Linked DNA regions of Arabidopsis thaliana. The protein of the gene in region 1 interacts with the protein of each later gene in a pairwise test. Each region holds a gene or a part of one and is shown in the gene's direction. Other genes may lie near its edges.

Region 1 (4,444 bases):
GGCTCTTTCATAGCTTTCTCACCGTAGATTGATCTGATGTAACACAATCACTGGCTCATTTAAGAAACATGTCGGACTAAATGCTTTGAGAAACAAAAATGCAAAGAAGAAAAGGATCATAATAAAGCCTACTCTGCATAACTTTGACGTCCAGCTTCATCAATTGGTGGTGGAGTTATAAGCACAATTAGCATTGTAGGTGAACATTTCTACAAAACAGAGTCATTAGTCTTTAAAGGAATCACACTTCAAGAAAAGTAAGTCCATGCATTAGAGTGGATCAAAGAAGCATATCAAAACCTTCAAATGCTGAACAATCTTTCTGACATTATCTGTGTACTCTTCCACCGGCACATGTTGTCTATCACTGGTTCTTCCTTTGAGAGCTGCATCGTTTGCACCGAAGAATATCGTCGTAGCAACAGGAGGAGACGAAGAGCCCTAGGCAAAAAGACAGAGTAGAACACATACTGAGATAGGCACACCAAAACAACACGCACTACAAGAAGAGTTCTCATGATATATGCAGATGTAATTGCCTTTTACCATCTCAAAATTCAAATCTAAATCTTTCGTACTTCAACCAATCCATGACAATGTCATAAAACCAACACATCCTAGAATCATATCAAAACCATTCAGAACTGAACCATAACAAGCATAAGCAAAACAAAAAATGATGCACAAGAGACAATAACTCAAGATCTATATCCACACAGATCATACACACAATCACAACAGCTCATGAACAAAATCATCCCAATGACTACCAAAATTCGTTCGTGTTTAGATCAAATTTCAAATCAACATTTGTAGACTCGAGGGAGGGAGAGAGAGATAAAAAGTACTGACGAGAGGGAAGATGTGATGAAGCAAGAAGAGAGCCCATCGGGTGTTGTAGCCGCCGTAGCCTCGAACCACAACATCAGCCTTGCGAGAGTAAGCGTCGGCAAGAGCAGATCCCCAACCGCCGGACCTAAAAGACTGCGCCGTGATCGAGTCGCCGAACAGAACTATCTCCGGCCTCATCTCGCTGTCTCCCTCCGGTTCACTGAGTAAACCGTTAACTGTATTAGGAAACTTAAAGTCTCTTCTGGGCCAAATCATATGGGCCGGGCCTTTAGTATTAATTTGTTATATTTTTGGTGAATGAAAAGGTGGTAATCTAAAGAGGTTTTACTAATTGTAGATTAAGGATGCGTGTAATGTTTTAGTATTAGTTTATGATTTCTTGATTTCACATTTTTCTGTCTTGAGCTTAAGTCAAAACCTCAAAGTGAACTTCTACGTAGATGAAGTATTGAAGTGTAGAAGTTAAATGCGTGAACTTCCACAATTCAACTACAAACACACTTTTACCAAAAAAAACTACAAACACACACAAATAATTTAAAAATAAAAAAAGAATTCTACAAGTTATTGAATATCGGTTTGGGTCGGTTAAATCTTGCATCCCATTCCAAATTTTCTGGTTTGTTCTTCGTTTTGACTAAACTTGAACCGATTGGTTTGACTTTATTTCGGTTTTTTGTTTTAACTTATTTAATAATAAAAATCCACCGAACTATTATTTATATAAAATATAAAATAAAGATTTTGAAAGCAAATTGACAAAATCTTAAAGATATGCAAAATCTCTCGATTTCATTCATATTTTTTCCCTCTTTTATTTCTTTCTTTCTTTCTTTCTACTTATATAAATGGCCCAACCACTGCCACCATGGTTTCACATCATATCTTTCTCTTCCTTTTTCTTCCAAATCCTCCAACATTCGTTGATCAATGGCTGAAGTTATGCTACCGAGGAAGATGGAGATTCTCAACCATTCTTCAAAGTTTGGATCACCGGATCCTCTTCATGTTCTTGCCGTCGACGACAGTCACGTTGATCGTAAATTCATCGAGCGTTTGCTCAGAGTATCTTCTTGCAAAGGTAATTATTACTCATATTTTGAAAAATCAGTCTCTGAATTCGGGCAAGTTATCTGAGTAAAAAGCTCTGTTTTGGTTGTTCAGTTACTGTTGTTGATAGTGCAACAAGAGCTCTCCAATACCTTGGTTTGGATGTTGAGGAAAAATCAGTCGGTTTTGAGGTATAAAACAATTTCCAAGAGAAAACAAAATTTTGCCGTAGCTCTCAAGCAATATGTTAAATCGTGATTTGTGCTTCAGGATTTGAAGGTTAATTTAATTATGACTGATTACTCAATGCCCGGTATGACTGGATATGAACTCTTGAAGAAGATCAAAGTAAGCAAACAAACATATAATGATATAATTAGTCAATGGAATTTGAGTTTTATGTTTATCTAATCCTTTTTTACGTGATTTTCCACAGGAATCCTCAGCTTTTAGAGAAGTACCGGTGGTAATTATGTCCTCCGAGAACATTTTGCCTCGTATTGATAGGTATAAAACTTCATCATAATCTTAAGTCAAACTATAGTAAATTTGGTGAATATCTTTGTCTTAGATGATCAAAAAAAGAATTAGATAAAACAAAAAGGGATTAGATCACAAAGTAAAGTTCCTGCTCATATGGTTAAAAGTTAATTTCCTTAAACCATTTTTGGTGGTGGATATTGCATAATTAAACAAATGTTGAGATTTGGTGATCTTTAATGGGTCCCAAGATGATTTTGTGTATAAAGATGTTTCTAACCAGCAAAATCTTTACTTTGGGATTTGATTCTATTTCTGGTGATGTGATATTACAATAAAATAAGTACATGATCTTGCTTGCCTAATATTTGGTAGGGTATTGTGAAAGCCACCTCACATGCTTTTTCACTTTGCATACAATATTAGGAAACCTCTAGACCAAATAAAATAAAAAGGAATATGTATTTGTGTTACACACAATGGCCAACTCAATTACGAACTGGCCATTTTATGATTGTTTGCTACATATACAACAAAAAAAAAACTTATTGATCCAAAGCTATCATCAACTTTATTGAAATTGGAGTTTACTCAAACTGATTTTCTTGTGATTATTATTTTGTCATTCAGATGTCTTGAAGAAGGGGCTGAAGATTTCTTACTGAAGCCGGTAAAACTCTCGGATGTAAAAAGATTAAGAGATTCTCTAATGAAGGTTGAAGATTTGTCTTTCACAAAGAGTATTCAGAAGAGAGAGCTAGAAACAGAGAATGTCTACCCTGTTCACTCGCAGCTCAAACGCGCAAAGATCTGAGCTCTCCGATGCAAATTCCGTGACTGGATCTTAGAAAAAGCCTTTTCATATACAGAAGCTTCAAGACTCAATGCACTTGAGCCTACACTGATGATTCTCGCCAGCTTAATGACCTATACAATTTTCCAACCCCTATGGCCTTTTTCGCTGATTGAATTCAGTGGGTTTATTCATATAGTAGTAATGTAAATGGTATAGAGATGAGCAAAAGCTATATTATATATTATATTCATTAGAGGGGTCATAGCTTTTTTCCTTACAAGAGATTTGTAAGCTGGCTTAATAGAAGTTGTTAAGAAGCCTCACTTTATGTGAATAAATGATTTTGTTAGCTAATCATAAACAATCAGAAGTTTCCTAAAAGAATTTGAAGTAATGAGAGTTGATCTCTGGTGAATGGTGATTCTAAAAAACAAGCTTTGGTTCATGAGTAACTTGTCAAGAGGATTCACCATAGCAACAAAATAACTCTTAAACCTTCAATAATGTTTGACAAGGAATAAATGCAGACCAAACATATGGAATTAGAAAAGAGAACATAGCATTCATTATTGAAACTATCTAAATGTATTTGAATCATTTTCTGTACCACCTTTTATGTATTCACACATCACATTCTACATCATCACCACAGTGTTTCAGACTTAGAACCATAGATGACATAGAAAACAGAGCTTAAGTTCTCGAGTTCCAAAAGACAACATGGTTGAGAAAACCGCACCTCTCCTTTTAAAACTTGCAAAACATGCTAGACGAACGAGCCAACCGAATTGTTAGACCACCACCTTGAATACTAGTCTCAGCCTTGACCATATTCCGTTCATAGGGTTTCCTGCAGCCTGGACAACGCCCATCTCCATCGCAAATGGTCTTGTGGCAGAACAGACAGAGCCGAAATCCACAAGGACAGGGGAGGAAATTCGAATCCGTCAAGTCCAAGTCTTCGTAGCATATGGGACATGAAGACGGAATCGCCACAGAGCTAAAACGCTTGTCTAACTCCGGAAAACTAAGCTGCTTCGCCAAATTAGGTAACCCCTGTGGGCGAAGGTCATCATCTAGCCTCCAAGCTCTATTACTAGTCTGCTTCCTTGATGACACTCTCAAGCATTCCTGCTTTGGATCTTCAACACCCACAACATCTGATGCATCACTAATCGACGAATCACACACATTAGAAGCTGATTGTCCAACACTCACTTGCTCTTTCACAGACTCAAGAGGACGACTCTTTTTCTCAATCTCTTC
Region 2 (5,810 bases), 970 kb from region 1:
GATATCTCGAGGTGGAGCACAGGGCCATCCTCAGGTCTATTCAATCCACTAAACCACTATTAGAAATATCACATTAGTCAAAAAGTTATGAATTTTTTCTGTTATTTTATGAGACATCCAAATATCAAATTCGACACGATTCATATTATACATTTCCTTCGAAACAATTAGAACGACTTTTGAAATAAAAACAAATGGGACGAATAGAAAGAAAAAAAAAGAGTGGGGACATTCAATTATTACAACATAAGAAGGGAGCTTTATGAGAGAACAGGAGCCAGATTCAGTTAATTATGTCTACTTCTGGTATTATATTTGTTTTGTTTTTACACAGATTTGTACGAATCATAATCAAAGTCACATCTTATCTCACATTCACATGTTCAAAACTATTCATTTTACCCTGGATTTTCATAGTAACATTTATATTCGTGTCTTCTAATTTGTTTTCATCTCTAATGCCAGCTTGCAAATTTTTTCTTTTTTTTCCTAAGTCAAATTTCTAGATAGCATCCTATATAATGATTAGTGTTATCATTTCGCTCGTGTAGGCTAATTATCGATTTTCTTTTATTTTCAAAGACACATACTCAGTGCTAGAGAGGAGCTATTTGTTTCCGTAATCCTGGGCCTCTGAGAGTTTTGAACAAACATATTGGGCTATAACAAAACCCATTATTAGCGGGCCGTTTATATCTGGATTCTGAAGTCCAGTCCAACTAGCATAGCGAACCAACCGGTCCGTGATTCAATTTAACCGGTTATTGAAAAAGTATCTTATCCAATATTTAGTCTTAACATATTTCATTCTTCTTCCTCCCTATTGATTAATGAAAGAAATTCAGTTTCTAAGAGATCAAAATCCGATTTACACTATTTCTCTTCTCTGATTCTTTCACTTACATTTCCATGAAAATTACCGTTTAATTTCGTGATGAAACAATTTGGAAGGTTTAGCAAAAATGATAATGTTTGTTCTTTATGAAGGAAACTATAATTGTGCAGCATAGTAGTAGTTTGTTGTCTTGTAATGTGAAGAAAATTCCGATTTGCGACAAAATTTATGTAAGTAGATGAAGAAGTGTGAGCGCACGGCTCTTAATAAAAAGCGCGTGGTGCATAGAGAAAATATCTGATAGTGGGTTTGCTTAGCTGTCTGGTCCCTACTTTGGTTGTTGGGCTTAGACGCTACCCTTCTTAACATTCTCATTTCTCAGCTTCTCCAGTACTTATTACGGATTGCCCTTTTTCACAAAGAGTCTTTTTTTTTTTGGGGGTGAATTATACGTAAGTTTAATTTATTTATTATAATTGTAATCAATATTATATTTTAAGTGATAATTTTTTTATAGGAAATGGAAATAAATATCAATTACAAGAAAAAATGTTTTAAATCCTTTTTAATTAATATAGGTTGGTTAGAAGAATTTGGCCCACGACTAATAATCATATGGGCTTTTGAGAAAATATTTTTAAAATTCAACGGTCCAGATTAGACCCAATTTTTGCTGGAAAAATATATATATGAAAAATGGCCCTCATTGATTCAATAATTGTGTGTTTGGATCACTCTTTTGCCTTGAGTTGTCTTTCTCTTTCTTTTCTTCTCCTCTCTATCTTCTCTTTTGTTGTTACTTTTGTTAGTCTTCTTCTTTGTTTCTGAGAAATTATTCAGTTTACTTAGATTTTGTTTAATTCATTCACTTTTTTTCCAGTTTAACTAGATTTATTTATTAAAAGTTTCTGATTAGTTTATGATGTAAGTTCTGCTCCACACAATACCATGCTTTTTCTGGTAATAACCGCTCTCAATTTTTTTTTCCTTTCGAAAATAACAAAATTCGTTTTTTTTTGAGAAAAAAATGAGAAATCAATATTTTAGCAGTTCTCTAGCCCAGAGATCTGAAAGTGAAAAAGCCCATTTGGGGGTTTGGTTGGGTTCATAAACAAGAAGGGTATTTTCGTCATTCCGACTAACTGGTGTTGCCCTAAATTCGTCCGCCGTCTAGTCGGTGACCGCCCGGCGATGAGAAATGAGTTTTTTTTTCTTTTGGGTTTTGTTTGTGGTCGGAATATTTAATTGTCAACTCATTGCAATTTATACTTATTTCATAGCAAATTAATTAGTTATGATTTAGTCTTTAATTAGCTAGGAGTAATCCAGTTTAAGGGCAAGATTCAAAAGTTACGAGGAGCATTCATGAAACCGAGATCCTAGCTGTCTCCACGTGGCAACCGCTGACCTGGCAAAATAAAAAGCGACCAATGAGAGAGTCGAATCCGAAAATAAAGAAACGAAAGAAAACAAAAAATAATGAAAAGTCAGTGTGGGACCCATTCAGACATAGAAATGACTAGTTTGCCTCTCTCACAAAAAAAGGAAAATCATTTTAAAAATCCACATCAATTTTTGTAAAGTTCGTAGGAATTATTAAAAAAATACAAAAATAACACATACACACGACGCCTCACGAACAAACGGCTAAAATAACTCCACGTGGATAACTACGAAGATCTGAGCCATCCGTGGCAGATTTCCGGGGCAGCTAGATCGGTCAGCGTCACCCAACAGATCTGAACCGTAAGATCTAAATTTAACGGTTAGATTTAAACTAAGCGTTATGTCGGTCAGATTCCAATGGCCTTTAAGAAGAGATGATGCCTCCCATCTTCTTCCTCATCATCATCGACCATCTCCCAAAAAACCCTCTTTTCATCCCTTTTTCTGAAGCTCTAAAATTTTTCAGTTCCCCGATCGCCGGAATTTTCGCCGGTGATGTAATTTTCCCGCGCCTTTTTTGGGAGGTGAATTTTTTTTTCTTCTAAAAGCTCGAGAAGAGTGAAAACCCCAGAAATGACCTTGCGATTCGTATGGCTCCGGCTGTTTTCGCTACCTTAAACGAACCGTCGTACCAGGAACAATGCGGCGCCGTTTTTATGAGGAAATTTACAAACCAATCCGTCACCGAAAACACCAATAACCTTCCGCTCTTCAACCCTAACCCTAACCCTAATTTCGAAAGGAGCAATTCGAGCAAGCAGTGCGATGACTCGTCGGAATTTGGAAGCTATGCTACTTTTAATCTCGCTGGGTACACCTCAAGTCAGCTCAGGGAGCTTAAGAAGCGCTTTACCTCAGAGCTCAAGCAGATTCGGATCCTGAGAGAACGGATCGAGTCAGGGACGTTCGAGACTCAGCAAGGTTATACTATCCCAGAGGTACCCGCCGTTCGATCAGCTCCGTTGAATAACTTCACCGGTGAAAAGAATGACCTTGGACCGAAGAAGAAGAAACAGAAGAAAAATGTGTCAGGTCTCAAGCGAAGCAATCAATTTGGTCCGTCGGATCCGGAGTCGGAGAAATTATTGGCCGGTATGTTGAATACCTGTAGTCAGATCTTGGTGAAGCTAATGAAGCATAAATGGGCGTGGGTGTTCAACACTCCTGTTGATGTGGTTGGTTTAGGGCTTCATGATTATCATCAGGTTGTGAAGAAACCTATGGATCTGGGTACAGTGAAATTGAATCTTGATAAAGGATTCTACGTTTCGCCGATTGATTTTGCTACTGATGTCAGATTGACATTCGACAATGCAATGACGTATAATCCAAAGGGACAAGATGTGTATTTTATGGCTGATAAGCTTTTGGATCATTTCGATGGAATGTTCAATCCTGCTTTTAAGAAGTTTGAGGCTCAGCAGCTTAAACTCACTGGTTCTTCATCTCGTCCTGAACCTGACTTCAAACCTGACTTCAAGCAAAGACAGTGGAATCAGAATCCGCCAATGGTGGCGAATCCTAGGAAAGGAACCGAACAAATATCTATTGCGAAGAAGCTTGATTCAGTGAAGCCGCCACAACCTACATTGCCTCCTCAATTAGTCGAGCCGTCACGCGTTCAATCTCCTTCTCCTCCTCCCCCTCCTCCGGTGATACAGCCTGAACTTCCGCAGCCTCAACCACCACCTCCACAGCTTGAAATTGAAGTAGAAGCACCTCCTGATGTGAGTGAAGTGTCAAAAGGAAGGAAGGGGAAGTTGCCGAAGCCTAAGGCTAAGGATCCAAATAAGAGGTTGATGACGATGGAAGAGAAGTCAAAGCTTGGTATGAATCTACAAGACTTGCCTCCTGAGAAGCTTGGTCAGTTGCTTCAGATTCTCAGGAAGAGAAACGGACATTTAGCTCAAGATGGGGACGAAATTGAGCTGGATATAGAAGCTGTCGACAATGAGACTCTATGGGAGCTTGATCGTTTTGTGACGAACTACAAGAAGATGGCTAGCAAAATCAAGCGCCAAGGGTTTATCAGGAACGTGTCAACTCCACCTAGGAACATGGTAAGCAAATTTGCACTGCCTTCCTATCAAAACCACCATTTGATCACTGTGGTTTCAATACTCAAAATTGTTTTCTTCGTCTGTGTCTCTTAGGCTTCGGTAGCAGAAATGGGTAGTGCGGAGAAGAGAACAAGGAGAGGAGATGCAGGGGAAGAGGATGTTGACATTGGAGAGGACATACCAATCGAAGATTATCCATCTGTAGAGATCGAAAGAGATGGTACTGCAGTTGCAGCTGCTGCTAGTAGTGGTTCTAGTTCTTCAGGCAGTTCCAGTTCTAGTGGTGGTAGTTCCTCGTCTAGTGGTATGTTTTCATAAACCCTTTTCCTCTTGCTAGAGGTTTCCCCTATTCTTGTGTCGACTCTAACATTGTAATGATCTGCAGATTCAGGGTCAGGTGGGAGTTCATCAGGTAGTGATTCTGATGCAGATAGTGTTCAATCGCCATTTGTGGAAGCAAAAGAAGCCCAATGTTAAAATCATTTGGGAATTTAACCGTTGATTCTGTCCTGAAGTACTAGGAACGTTTAGCTGAGGGTGTAAAGGGAGGAATGAAGGGGAAAACTGAAGGAAAGGATTTGTTTTTTCTTTCGATGATAAACTTAGGAAGCAGATGTAGTTAGAAAGAAAAATGTAATAGGTAGATAGAAAGAGAGTGCTAGTTTAAGCAAGAAGAAGAGTTCGTTATTTAATACCTTTTAGATTTAGGAGTTGTTTAGTGTATTTGTGAGATGCTGAACAGAGGGTGAGAGTGAGTGGGTAGGTACTGTAGGAGAAGAAGAAGAAGAAAAGAGTCTTTTTAGGTTCTATGACTTTATTTATTTTTCTTTGTTAGTAGTGTTAAAGAGTCTGGTTGTGGTAGGAAAAATGGTGATAGAAGAGAAGAAAGAAATCAATGCAATGTATTAGATGTAAATGGTTGGCATATTAAAAAAGAAAAGTTGATTTTCCATCTTATAAATGTCTTTCAAAGTTTCCAAATGTTGTGAGGATTATATAAGAGTTAAGCAGAAGCAGAGGCAGCCAAGAGTCCATTGTGTCTGAGAAGAGGCTCGGGTGAAGGTTCTCGTCCTCTAAACTCAACAAACACCTGATCATAATTTGGAATCAATTGAGAATGAAATGCAACAAATATTGAAACTATTGTATGAAAACACAATATAGTAGTAGTTAGTAATACCTTAAGAGGCGCTTTCCCTCCTCCAAGTGCAAGTATGGTGTTTCTGAATCTCTGTCCTGTTTCTTTAACAGCCTGTTTGCAACAAAAAATTTCGTAATCTTGTATCTCAACTATTTGTGTCTATAACAGATGTTTTAGGATATACTGATACCTTGATGTCGTCTAGTCCAGCGTCTTCAAATGCTGAAAATGCATCAGCAGACAAAACTTCTGCCCACTGCAAGTTTTTCACATCCAGTTTTTTTAGATATTTGAGTGAGAATTTACAGAGTCGGTTATAGTATAAAGA
Region 3 (4,408 bases), on another chromosome or scaffold:
ATCGAGATATTTTGCTCTGATACCATATTAGTAAAACAATCTCATTCTCATTAATTAGCAAAAGAGTACAATTGGGGGTTTATATACAAACTGACATTGGCCTAAACCATAAGCCTCTAAACCAAAATTAAGATTGGTTTATAAAATACCAACCTTTACAGACTCTATATGAAATCTATACTAACCAAACTAAGTTTATATACAACAATCTAAGTTATATACATTAATAAATACAAACCTTCACCTAAGAAAATATCTTTAACCCGACATAAATTTGTTACTACGGACATGTTTTTGTTTAATTGGAGAAAGATATATGATTGTGTATGGTGTCTATTGATTGATTGTCACAGAAGTATAGGCATTTTCTGTTATTGGCAAACTAAGAAAGAAAAGACATTTTCCACTAGTTATGTAATGCATCTTCGAAATACCCAACGGACCAAACCTGCTCATCCTTTCCGTTTTTGATATTATATAACAATATTTTATATCTTTTAATCGCTAAAAACGAATATTATATAAATGTATTGGATGTCCAAAAAAAAAAATGTGAATGGAGGCTTTCATATGCTATATCACTATCAACCAATCACAGAACATCTTTGACAGAAGGTTACCTATGCACGTACACTACACATACGATGCTCTTTGTTTATATCTTTGCTTATAGTTTATCGATGCTAACCACTGTAAGAATTAAGTAAAGTTAATGCCAATTTAACATTAAGTTAAAATTACTGTAAAAAGTAAATTAGATAGGCTGCCTTTTAAAAAAATTGTTGAATTATAACCATATTTGCTTTTCAAACATGCATGTCCCAAGTAACAGAACAAACAAAAAAAAGAAGAAGTTTGGCGTAATGCTCCTATACCATGGGTTAGTGCTCTCAAGCGGGTCATGTGTACACCAACAATATCAATTTTTGGGTGTTTGCTTTTAACTGAAAAAGTAAACGCATCGAATCTTTATTATGATTTCGATGAATAATGATAAAATTTGGGACAATTTCAATTCAAGTGAGGAAAACGTGTCTGTGCCTTCTTGGTAAATCTAACACTGAAATTTGACACGCAGTTGCTTCTATAGTCAGTAATTCCAATAAAGCATCTAAAATTGCATTTGAATATTTAATCATAGTCGTCCCTATCAATAATTGTCACCAACAAAGATAAAGGGTAAATAAGAAACATATAATGAAAATTGAATGGTCGTAGTTTTATATGTTAGTTGGAACCAAAGATTCTTCAATCTATCATCCACTCAGAGCTACGTGGACAGTCGATATTTTGGGTTATATAAAAAAAAACAAAATTGTACTATAAGACAAAAGAAAACAGTATTAAAAAAAAAAAAATCAATAACAAGATTATATCTTATCCCAATGAACAAAATGAAAATTTAGTTATTTTGAATAATGTTACAGGTTTTAATTAAATTATACTATATCACAAACAGCAAGAGTCAGATACATCGAACGGTCCAGCTTTCCTCCTTTATTTTTTTCTGGCTATCGTTTTGATGCAAAGTTGTTTCGTTAATCGTGAAAATTAAAAAGCTACAGCAATCTTCTCCGAAACTTCATACACTCGCCGACAAGAGAAACTTCATCCACTCGGATTTCTCGTAACTTGCAGCACTAAACATTTCATGAAACTATTCACAAAAGTCCACGAACCTTGCAATTGGCCACAAAATTTAAAATACTTATATACGTAACGACAACCTATCCATATTTTTCTTTCTAACGATCCAAAACTGGCCACGCTTCGACTCCATGGTGATATTAACTAGGGAAGTGGCTAATGGCAAACAAGTGCTTAGAAGTGGTAAATTCAAATAATAACCGTCGATTATTTCTTTCTAACCGTTATTGAGGTTACCAATTAAAAAAAGTGATCACAAACTAGGTCAATGAAAAGGGAGATTTTTTGTTTTCTTTGGGCCAATGAAAATAGAAACTAAGATGGACAAAAGAAAATATTATAATTGGACAAAACAGAGTCATTTGAGATTTAAAACAGAGAAGTAATAAAGGTCAAATGTTTTTGTGGTGAGCTCTCAAAAACAGACATAAAAAAAAGAAGCAGAATCATTCCCATTTATAACAAACCTAAACCTCTCTTTTCTTCTTCTCTTTACCTTTTTCATTCCAAAATCTCTCTCTCTCTCTCTCTCTTTCTCTGGCTCGGGAAGAAGATGTCACGTAGTTGCTCACAGTGTGGAAACAACGGCCACAACTCTCGCACATGTCCGACGGACATAACTACCACCGGTGACAACAACGACAAAGGCGGCGGGGAGAAAGCCATCATGCTTTTTGGCGTCCGCGTCACGGAAGCTTCATCATCTTGTTTTAGAAAAAGTGTTAGTATGAACAATCTCTCTCAATTCGATCAAACTCCTGATCCCAACCCAACCGATGACGGTGGTTACGCTTCAGACGACGTCGTTCACGCCTCCGGTAGAAACCGTGAACGCAAACGAGGTTAATAAAATAACCTTTCTTCTCTCTTTCCCAAATCTCATCTCTGTTTTTGTTTCTTGTTTTTGAAACTTTCTTGCAAATTTGGAATTTAGGAACTCCATGGACAGAGGAAGAACATAGATTGTTTCTTACTGGATTGCATAAAGTTGGAAAAGGTGATTGGAGAGGAATCTCTAGAAACTTTGTTAAAACTCGAACACCTACTCAGGTAGCGAGTCATGCTCAGAAATATTTTCTCCGGCGGACTAATCAGAATCGTCGTCGTCGTAGATCAAGCCTCTTCGATATCACTCCCGATTCGGTAACGTTTCATTCTTTAAAATCTATAATTAAAATCAAGAATCTGTAAGATTATACTAACACATAAGGTTCGATATGTCAACAGTTTATAGGATCATCAAAAGAAGAGAATCAGTTACAGACTCCATTGGAGCTAATCCGTCCAGTTCCGATTCCTATTCCGATTCCACCGTCGCGGAAGATGGCTGATTTGAATCTTAACAAGAAAAAAACTCCAGCGACAACGGAGATGTTTCCGCTGTCGCTGAATTTGCAGAGGCCGTCTTCGTCGACATCGTCATCGTCCAATGAACAGAAGGCACGTGGCTCACGTGCCTCCTCGGGGTTCGAGGCGATGTCGAGTAATGGAGATAGTATAATGGGAGTGGCTTGATGAAGAAGATAATGTTTTAATTAATTTATATTGTATAAGATAAGATCTGGATGATGATTAATTTGAAATTTGAGAATTAGGCTAATTAGATACTTTGATCAGAATCAAGTGAGTTTTTAAGTTTGAATTAGTGTGTACATGTTTTTTTGCTCTTTTTGGGGGAAACGACTTGTCGTTTTTGTTGTTGTATGATGTAAAACAACAGGTAGTCTCTGTGTTGTTTTGGTCAAGACTTGATCAGATTCAGAAGTGAAGACGACTTCAAGCTTAAGATAGTTTAGATGTGTCTTTTGAAAAGTTTAAACAGAATGGTTATTGGGTTAAGGTTAAGTGTATCTCATATGCTTTTTCTATCTTTTTTTTTGGTAAGACTTTTCCAGTAATTTGCCGTTTTCTTCGGGGTGTGTGTTGTTGATAATGTCACATTCATGAACCAAACACAGTTATATTACTTTAGTAACAGTTTTTTTTTGTTTTTTTGTTTGTCGTTTGACGTCATTTTGTTTTATTTATGTTATTACATACATGGATATAATTTATGAAACTGCCAAGAAAACAAAGAATATAATTTGTTGAATTGTTATTGGCCTACCAACTATATCAGCAAGATTCGAATCTATACTTTGTTAAAATGTCTCAATGTAGGACTGGACTGGAGATAAATATAAAGTAATATATAGGGTAAAGTTTCTAAGTCTTGTATAGCATGATTTTTATTAGGGAATAGAATTCTAATTTCATGATGTAATTCAAACAACTGAAATGGAAAATTGTTTAAAACTAGCTAAACTTGTACAGTTGTACTATTTAGAGCCCAAAGTGATAACTGTTTTATGGCTTTTATCCATGCAAAAGAAAAACATCAAAATAAAGTGATGTCCATCACATACATCTTAAATAAAGTAATAATGGGCCTAGCTAAGGTATAGCCCATGGGCTTATTCGCTGATCTAACCAAAGTGTCGCTAATTTTCTTCCTTGTTTTTTTAACGCAAATTTTCTTCCATGTCAATTATGTCTTTTTAATCAAAAATTCCTCCACACCAAAAAAGAACGTAAAAACTAAAAATAGAACAAATTCAACTACACTCAGATAATCGAATTGCTATGTCCAATATCCAAAACATTTCAAGCCATTTAGTGCTCTCACTAAACATATTTTAACAAAATATGAAATAACATTCCCAAAATTGCGATCAAAAGGCTAGAAACATCTTCAACAATTATGACAGTCCTAAACCAACAG
Region 4 (4,524 bases), on another chromosome or scaffold:
TTCCATAAAATACAAACAAAACTTGAATTTCCATAGACTTCAGAGCTTGAAAGTCTCTCGTATAACAAAGAGGTAAAACAAATAAACTTTGGCTATGTTTTTTTTTTTTTTGCGTTGAATAAGTGTGTTAATAATAAAAGGAAAACTTGATCAAATATATTTTGTCTTTCTATTTTCACAAATGCTTTTTTTTTTGGTGTTTTCTAAAAATCTAAGTAACAGTGTTATTAATGGAGAAAATAAATGAGAAGAAGGGTTATGTTTAGATTGTTTCCTGTGTAAATGTAAAATCAAACATATAAATTAAACACGAGCAGGAAATTAAATAAATAGAGCTGACCTGTCTTGTCTGTGTAACTGCTGAAAGTTTTGAAGAGACTGAAGGCAGAAGTAATGATGGCAATATCAATAACATATATGGAGTCATCATTAATTAAATAGTAATTTAATTACTCTCTTATTAGTCATAAAAATCAGCCAACACCACTTGTCGTGCGTTTTTATTTATGTTTGACTGACAGATGAAATTAATGAGAAAGTTAATTATCTTTTGGTATCACATTGGGAAAAAGGAACAATAAATGAAGGAGGGAGGCATGGAATGGGAATGCATGTTGGATTCGCAGACAACTCAAAATCCATGCAGTGTTTAGGGCTTTTAGGTTCTCTGTAACCTATCTATACGACACCGTATCTCTGCCCCCTCCTGATTCCATACCCATTTTGAGCCCACCGCCTTATTCTCCCCCCACCTCACACTCGCCCATTCGCGCGTATCTATTCTTTCACGCTTACCTATTATTCCAACATCCTCATAATCACATTTTAACAATAACCCATTGAAGAATAATAATTCATTTCATTCTTTAAGAAAGTTTGGTTTGTAACTAGGTTATATAATTTTACCCAATAAAGGTTATAGAATGGTTTAAAACTACTAAGAAAAACATAATTTAGCTGATCTTTTCTCAAAAAAAAAAAAATAGTTGTCATAATCGAATGCCAATGATGAAACATATTCACCATAAAGCTAACTTAAAGAACCTTTTCTAACCAACAAGTTAACAAGTGATGGTGAATTTGGAGAGTGGGTGAGATTTGTTTTAAGGATATAATTCCATGTTAAAATGGGAAGTACAATTATATGGTTTGATATACAGTACTACAAATTATGCTTTAAGAGTACTAATATTAAAGCGAAGCTGCATTATTTTTGAGATACGTAGGACCCCAATGGTCAGAGGGAGAAGTAAAGTTATGATGATAACAATAAGGCATGATATGATGATGATGTTCATAATGATACTGATGATGATGATGATTTATTAATTATTATGATATGATATCATTATTTGATCACCCTCACGAGCGCGTGGATTTTACCGTCTGGTCGCTGCTTTTTTAATCCTCTCAATCAGTCAACGGTCAACGAGCGAGAAAGCCGCTTTCGTAATGAAAGCCACATTACAAAAAGCCAATTATGCTTGTTTGTGTGTTTTTGAAAAAGAGCTTCTTTTACATTTTCTTTACTTTGAAACTCGGGTACACAAAATCTCTACTCAATTATATTGTCAACTACTAATCTTTAGTATCTTTTAAAGTAGAAACTCAGCTTTTATCTATATTTAGTAAAACCTCACATGAATGGATTTGGGTGAATGAGTTTATCATATGTATAAGAATCTAATATAATATTTGAAAAACGCTCATAGGTTATTTTGTAATTAAGAATAGTGACAACTTACAATATACCAAACGGAAAATGATAGAGAAAGAACAAGAGACTTGGACTTTTTTTTTTCTTATAATAAATCAATTAACCATGGTTGAAAAGGGATGTGAGGTGAAAGTAATAACTCCTGGTTTTAATTTTAACCATGGTTAAGTTAAAATAAAGAGAGAAGGAAGCAGGTTTTTATGCAGTATATATCATCATTGAGGTAACAGAGGTCTCTCTGACACAAGTCATCATTGAAACCCTAAGCCTCCCCACAACCCCATATCTCTTTGTCTGAAAAAACTCTTTTGCATATATAAATAAATATAAGCCATATCTTTTGAAACTGTACTGCTGCACAAGTGTAGAGGCAGTGGCACAACATCTTTAAGAAAGAGAGAGAGAAAGAGTCATTTATTCATTTCCTCGCTTAAAAATCTTGAGCACCCAGACAGAATTCTTCTTTCTTCTTTCTGGGGTTGAGAAAAATGAGTGAAAGAGATGATGGATTGGGGCTAAGTTTGAGCTTGAGTTTAGGTTTTAATCAAAAGGACCCGTCTTCGAGGTTAAATCCAATGCCTCTGGCTTCTTATGCATCTTCATCACACATGCAGCATATGCAGCAGAGCAATTATAACCATCCTCAAAAGATTCAGAACACTTGGATTAACATGTTTCAGTCATCAGGTATTTACCTCCTTTTACTAATCCAGATTCATGTCTAAGATTATAGGTTTCTTTGTTTTAGATCCGATCTTTTTATTACACTTTATCCTATAATAGATAAAATTTTCTTGATATGTTTGTGATTTTTAATCATTTGGCGTGATTAACGTAACGTGCAGAGAGAAACTCGGACATGAGATCGTTTCTCCGGGGAATAGACGTGAACAGAGCTCCATCGACGGTGGTGGTTGACGTGGAGGATGAAGGCGCCGGAGTTTCGTCTCCGAACAGCACCGTCTCAAGCGTGATGAGCGGGAAGAAGAGCGAGCGAGAGCTAATGGCTGCGGCAGGTGCAGTTGGAGGAGGTAGAGTAGAAGATAATGAGATTGAGAGAGCTTCTTGCTCGCTCGGCGGTGGTAGCGACGATGAAGACGGTAGCGGGAACGGAGATGACAGTTCGAGGAAGAAACTCCGATTGTCTAAAGAACAAGCTTTGGTTCTTGAAGAAACTTTTAAAGAACATAGTACACTCAATCCGGTCAGTGGCATTTCCGTAGTTTTCTTCAATAGGTTGACTTTTTATATGTTTTTCATTGACTTTTTTTGTTGTTGTTGGATGCAGAAGCAAAAGATGGCTTTGGCTAAGCAATTGAATCTGAGGACGAGACAAGTTGAAGTGTGGTTCCAAAACCGAAGGGCAAGGTAGAAATTTTTATTCTATTTTAAGGGGTTACTTTCGTAAATTTTATATAGTCCAACAAATAAAACATTAGTAGTTATTGCTATGATGGTGATATGTGTAATGGTCCATTTTATGACCCATAAGATTATCCTAAAGGATTTTAATGGGTCTCTCATGTCTTAAATTAGGAGGTTTGGTTTAAGCTATTCAGTTTTCCCGGTTTAAGAATTAAAACCGCCAATGTTGTTTTTGAGTCAAATTTTGGTTAAAGTGTTTTCAGTTTTCCGGTTCAAGAACAATAACCGCCAGTTTCGAATACAAGAAACAAATGTACTTCGGGTTTTCTCTTTCCCGGATAGTTAAACCGGATATCGGATTTTAATGTTTTGGACTGTTTGTGTGTGTGTTTATAGGACGAAGCTGAAGCAAACGGAAGTAGACTGTGAATATCTTAAGAGATGTTGCGAGAATCTAACGGATGAGAATCGGAGATTGCAAAAGGAAGTGAGTGAGCTTAGGGCTTTAAAGCTTTCTCCACACTTATACATGCACATGAAACCTCCCACTACTCTCACAATGTGTCCTTCTTGCGAGCGAGTCGCTGTTACGTCATCTTCGTCATCGGTGGCTCCTCCTGTGATGAATTCATCGTCTCCGATGGGTCCGATGAGTCCGTGGGCTGCCATGCCTCTACGGCAACGACCTGCTGCTGGTTCTCATTAGAGTTTAATTAGTCTAAAGATAATAGGTTTGGTGATTTGTTTTTATTATATTGTTGAACGGACTTGGAAGTTCTTTTCAAGAGTTGGTCCCATGCTCTTCTTTCCTTTGTTTTATTCAGTTTCTATTTATAGCTGAATTCTGGATAATGGAAAATCTACTAATATTATTGTCCAATTATTAGTTTGGGGAAAGATAAGAGGTTCTATCATTCTTTATTGTTATATATTTTGATTACATCATATCTGTTTTTCACCAAATCCAGAGTTCTATTTTAAGGCCATCGAATCATAATAACGAATGGTGCATAAACTAATTTTCAAGAGCGTCATTTATTAAAGTTGTAATTGTTTAATTGGGGTTTTCTTTCTTTTGCTTGGAACTTAAGAAAGGGATTTGTAAAGATGATTATTAATTACAGTAGAAGATTAGTTAGAAGTATAAAGTAAAAAGAAGCAATGAAAGGTGTTATGATTGATGGAGCAAGCGTGTGTTGTTTGCATATGTAATAAGTAAATGTTAGCCAATACGAATATCGAGACATGTACGTGACATAACATAGCATTTGGTATGTATATGGAGATATTTGGGTCCACATAGACGAAGTCAGACCATTAGAATCTCTTGCAGAACACTGAAGATACGATATTTTTTTCTTCCCTTATGTCAAAAGATCTCAACCGACAGAGAAAGAGAAAATGAGAGGTACGACCAAGATATCTCTCGGTGTTTCAATTTT

What was found.
Region 2: the proteins of ARR6 (region 1) and GTE7 interact in a two-hybrid assay, tested with the Arabidopsis thaliana proteins (one large-scale study listed by BioGRID).
Region 3: the proteins of ARR6 (region 1) and AT1G70000 interact in a two-hybrid assay, tested with the Arabidopsis thaliana proteins (one large-scale study listed by BioGRID).
Region 4: the proteins of ARR6 (region 1) and HAT3 interact in a two-hybrid assay, tested with the Arabidopsis thaliana proteins (one large-scale study listed by BioGRID).

What each region holds. Positions count from the first base shown.
Region 1 is NC_003076.8:25,251,497-25,255,940, reverse strand, and holds ARR6 (response regulator 6), read left to right. Parts: upstream 1-1,622; 5' UTR 1,623-1,782; coding exon 1,783-1,933; intron 1,934-2,016; coding exon 2,017-2,093; intron 2,094-2,172; coding exon 2,173-2,250; intron 2,251-2,338; coding exon 2,339-2,409; intron 2,410-3,012; coding exon 3,013-3,196; 3' UTR 3,197-3,925; downstream 3,926-4,444. Other genes in the region: AT5G62930 (SGNH hydrolase-type esterase superfamily protein), read right to left, coding at 1-33, 133-209, 301-441, 853-1,107; AT5G62910 (RING/U-box superfamily protein), read right to left, coding at 3,926-4,444. UniProt on the Arabidopsis thaliana protein: Functions as a response regulator involved in His-to-Asp phosphorelay signal transduction system. Phosphorylation of the Asp residue in the receiver domain activates the ability of the protein to promote the transcription of target genes.
Region 2 is NC_003076.8:26,225,319-26,231,128, reverse strand, and holds GTE7 (global transcription factor group E7), read left to right. Parts: upstream 1-1,554; 5' UTR 1,555-2,871; coding exon 2,872-4,341; intron 4,342-4,434; coding exon 4,435-4,645; intron 4,646-4,726; coding exon 4,727-4,818; 3' UTR 4,819-5,297; downstream 5,298-5,810. Other genes in the region: AT5G65620 (Zincin-like metalloproteases family protein), read right to left, coding at 5,345-5,431, 5,522-5,593, 5,673-5,738.
Region 3 is NC_003070.9:26,362,428-26,366,835, reverse strand, and holds AT1G70000 (myb-like transcription factor family protein), read left to right. Parts: upstream 1-1,957; 5' UTR 1,958-2,200; coding exon 2,201-2,489; intron 2,490-2,581; coding exon 2,582-2,790; intron 2,791-2,874; coding exon 2,875-3,162; 3' UTR 3,163-3,857; downstream 3,858-4,408.
Region 4 is NC_003074.8:22,320,052-22,324,575, reverse strand, and holds HAT3 (homeobox-leucine zipper protein 3), read left to right. Parts: upstream 1-1,914; 5' UTR 1,915-2,205; coding exon 2,206-2,404; intron 2,405-2,562; coding exon 2,563-2,921; intron 2,922-3,005; coding exon 3,006-3,085; intron 3,086-3,478; coding exon 3,479-3,788; 3' UTR 3,789-3,996; downstream 3,997-4,524. UniProt on the Arabidopsis thaliana protein: Probable transcription factor.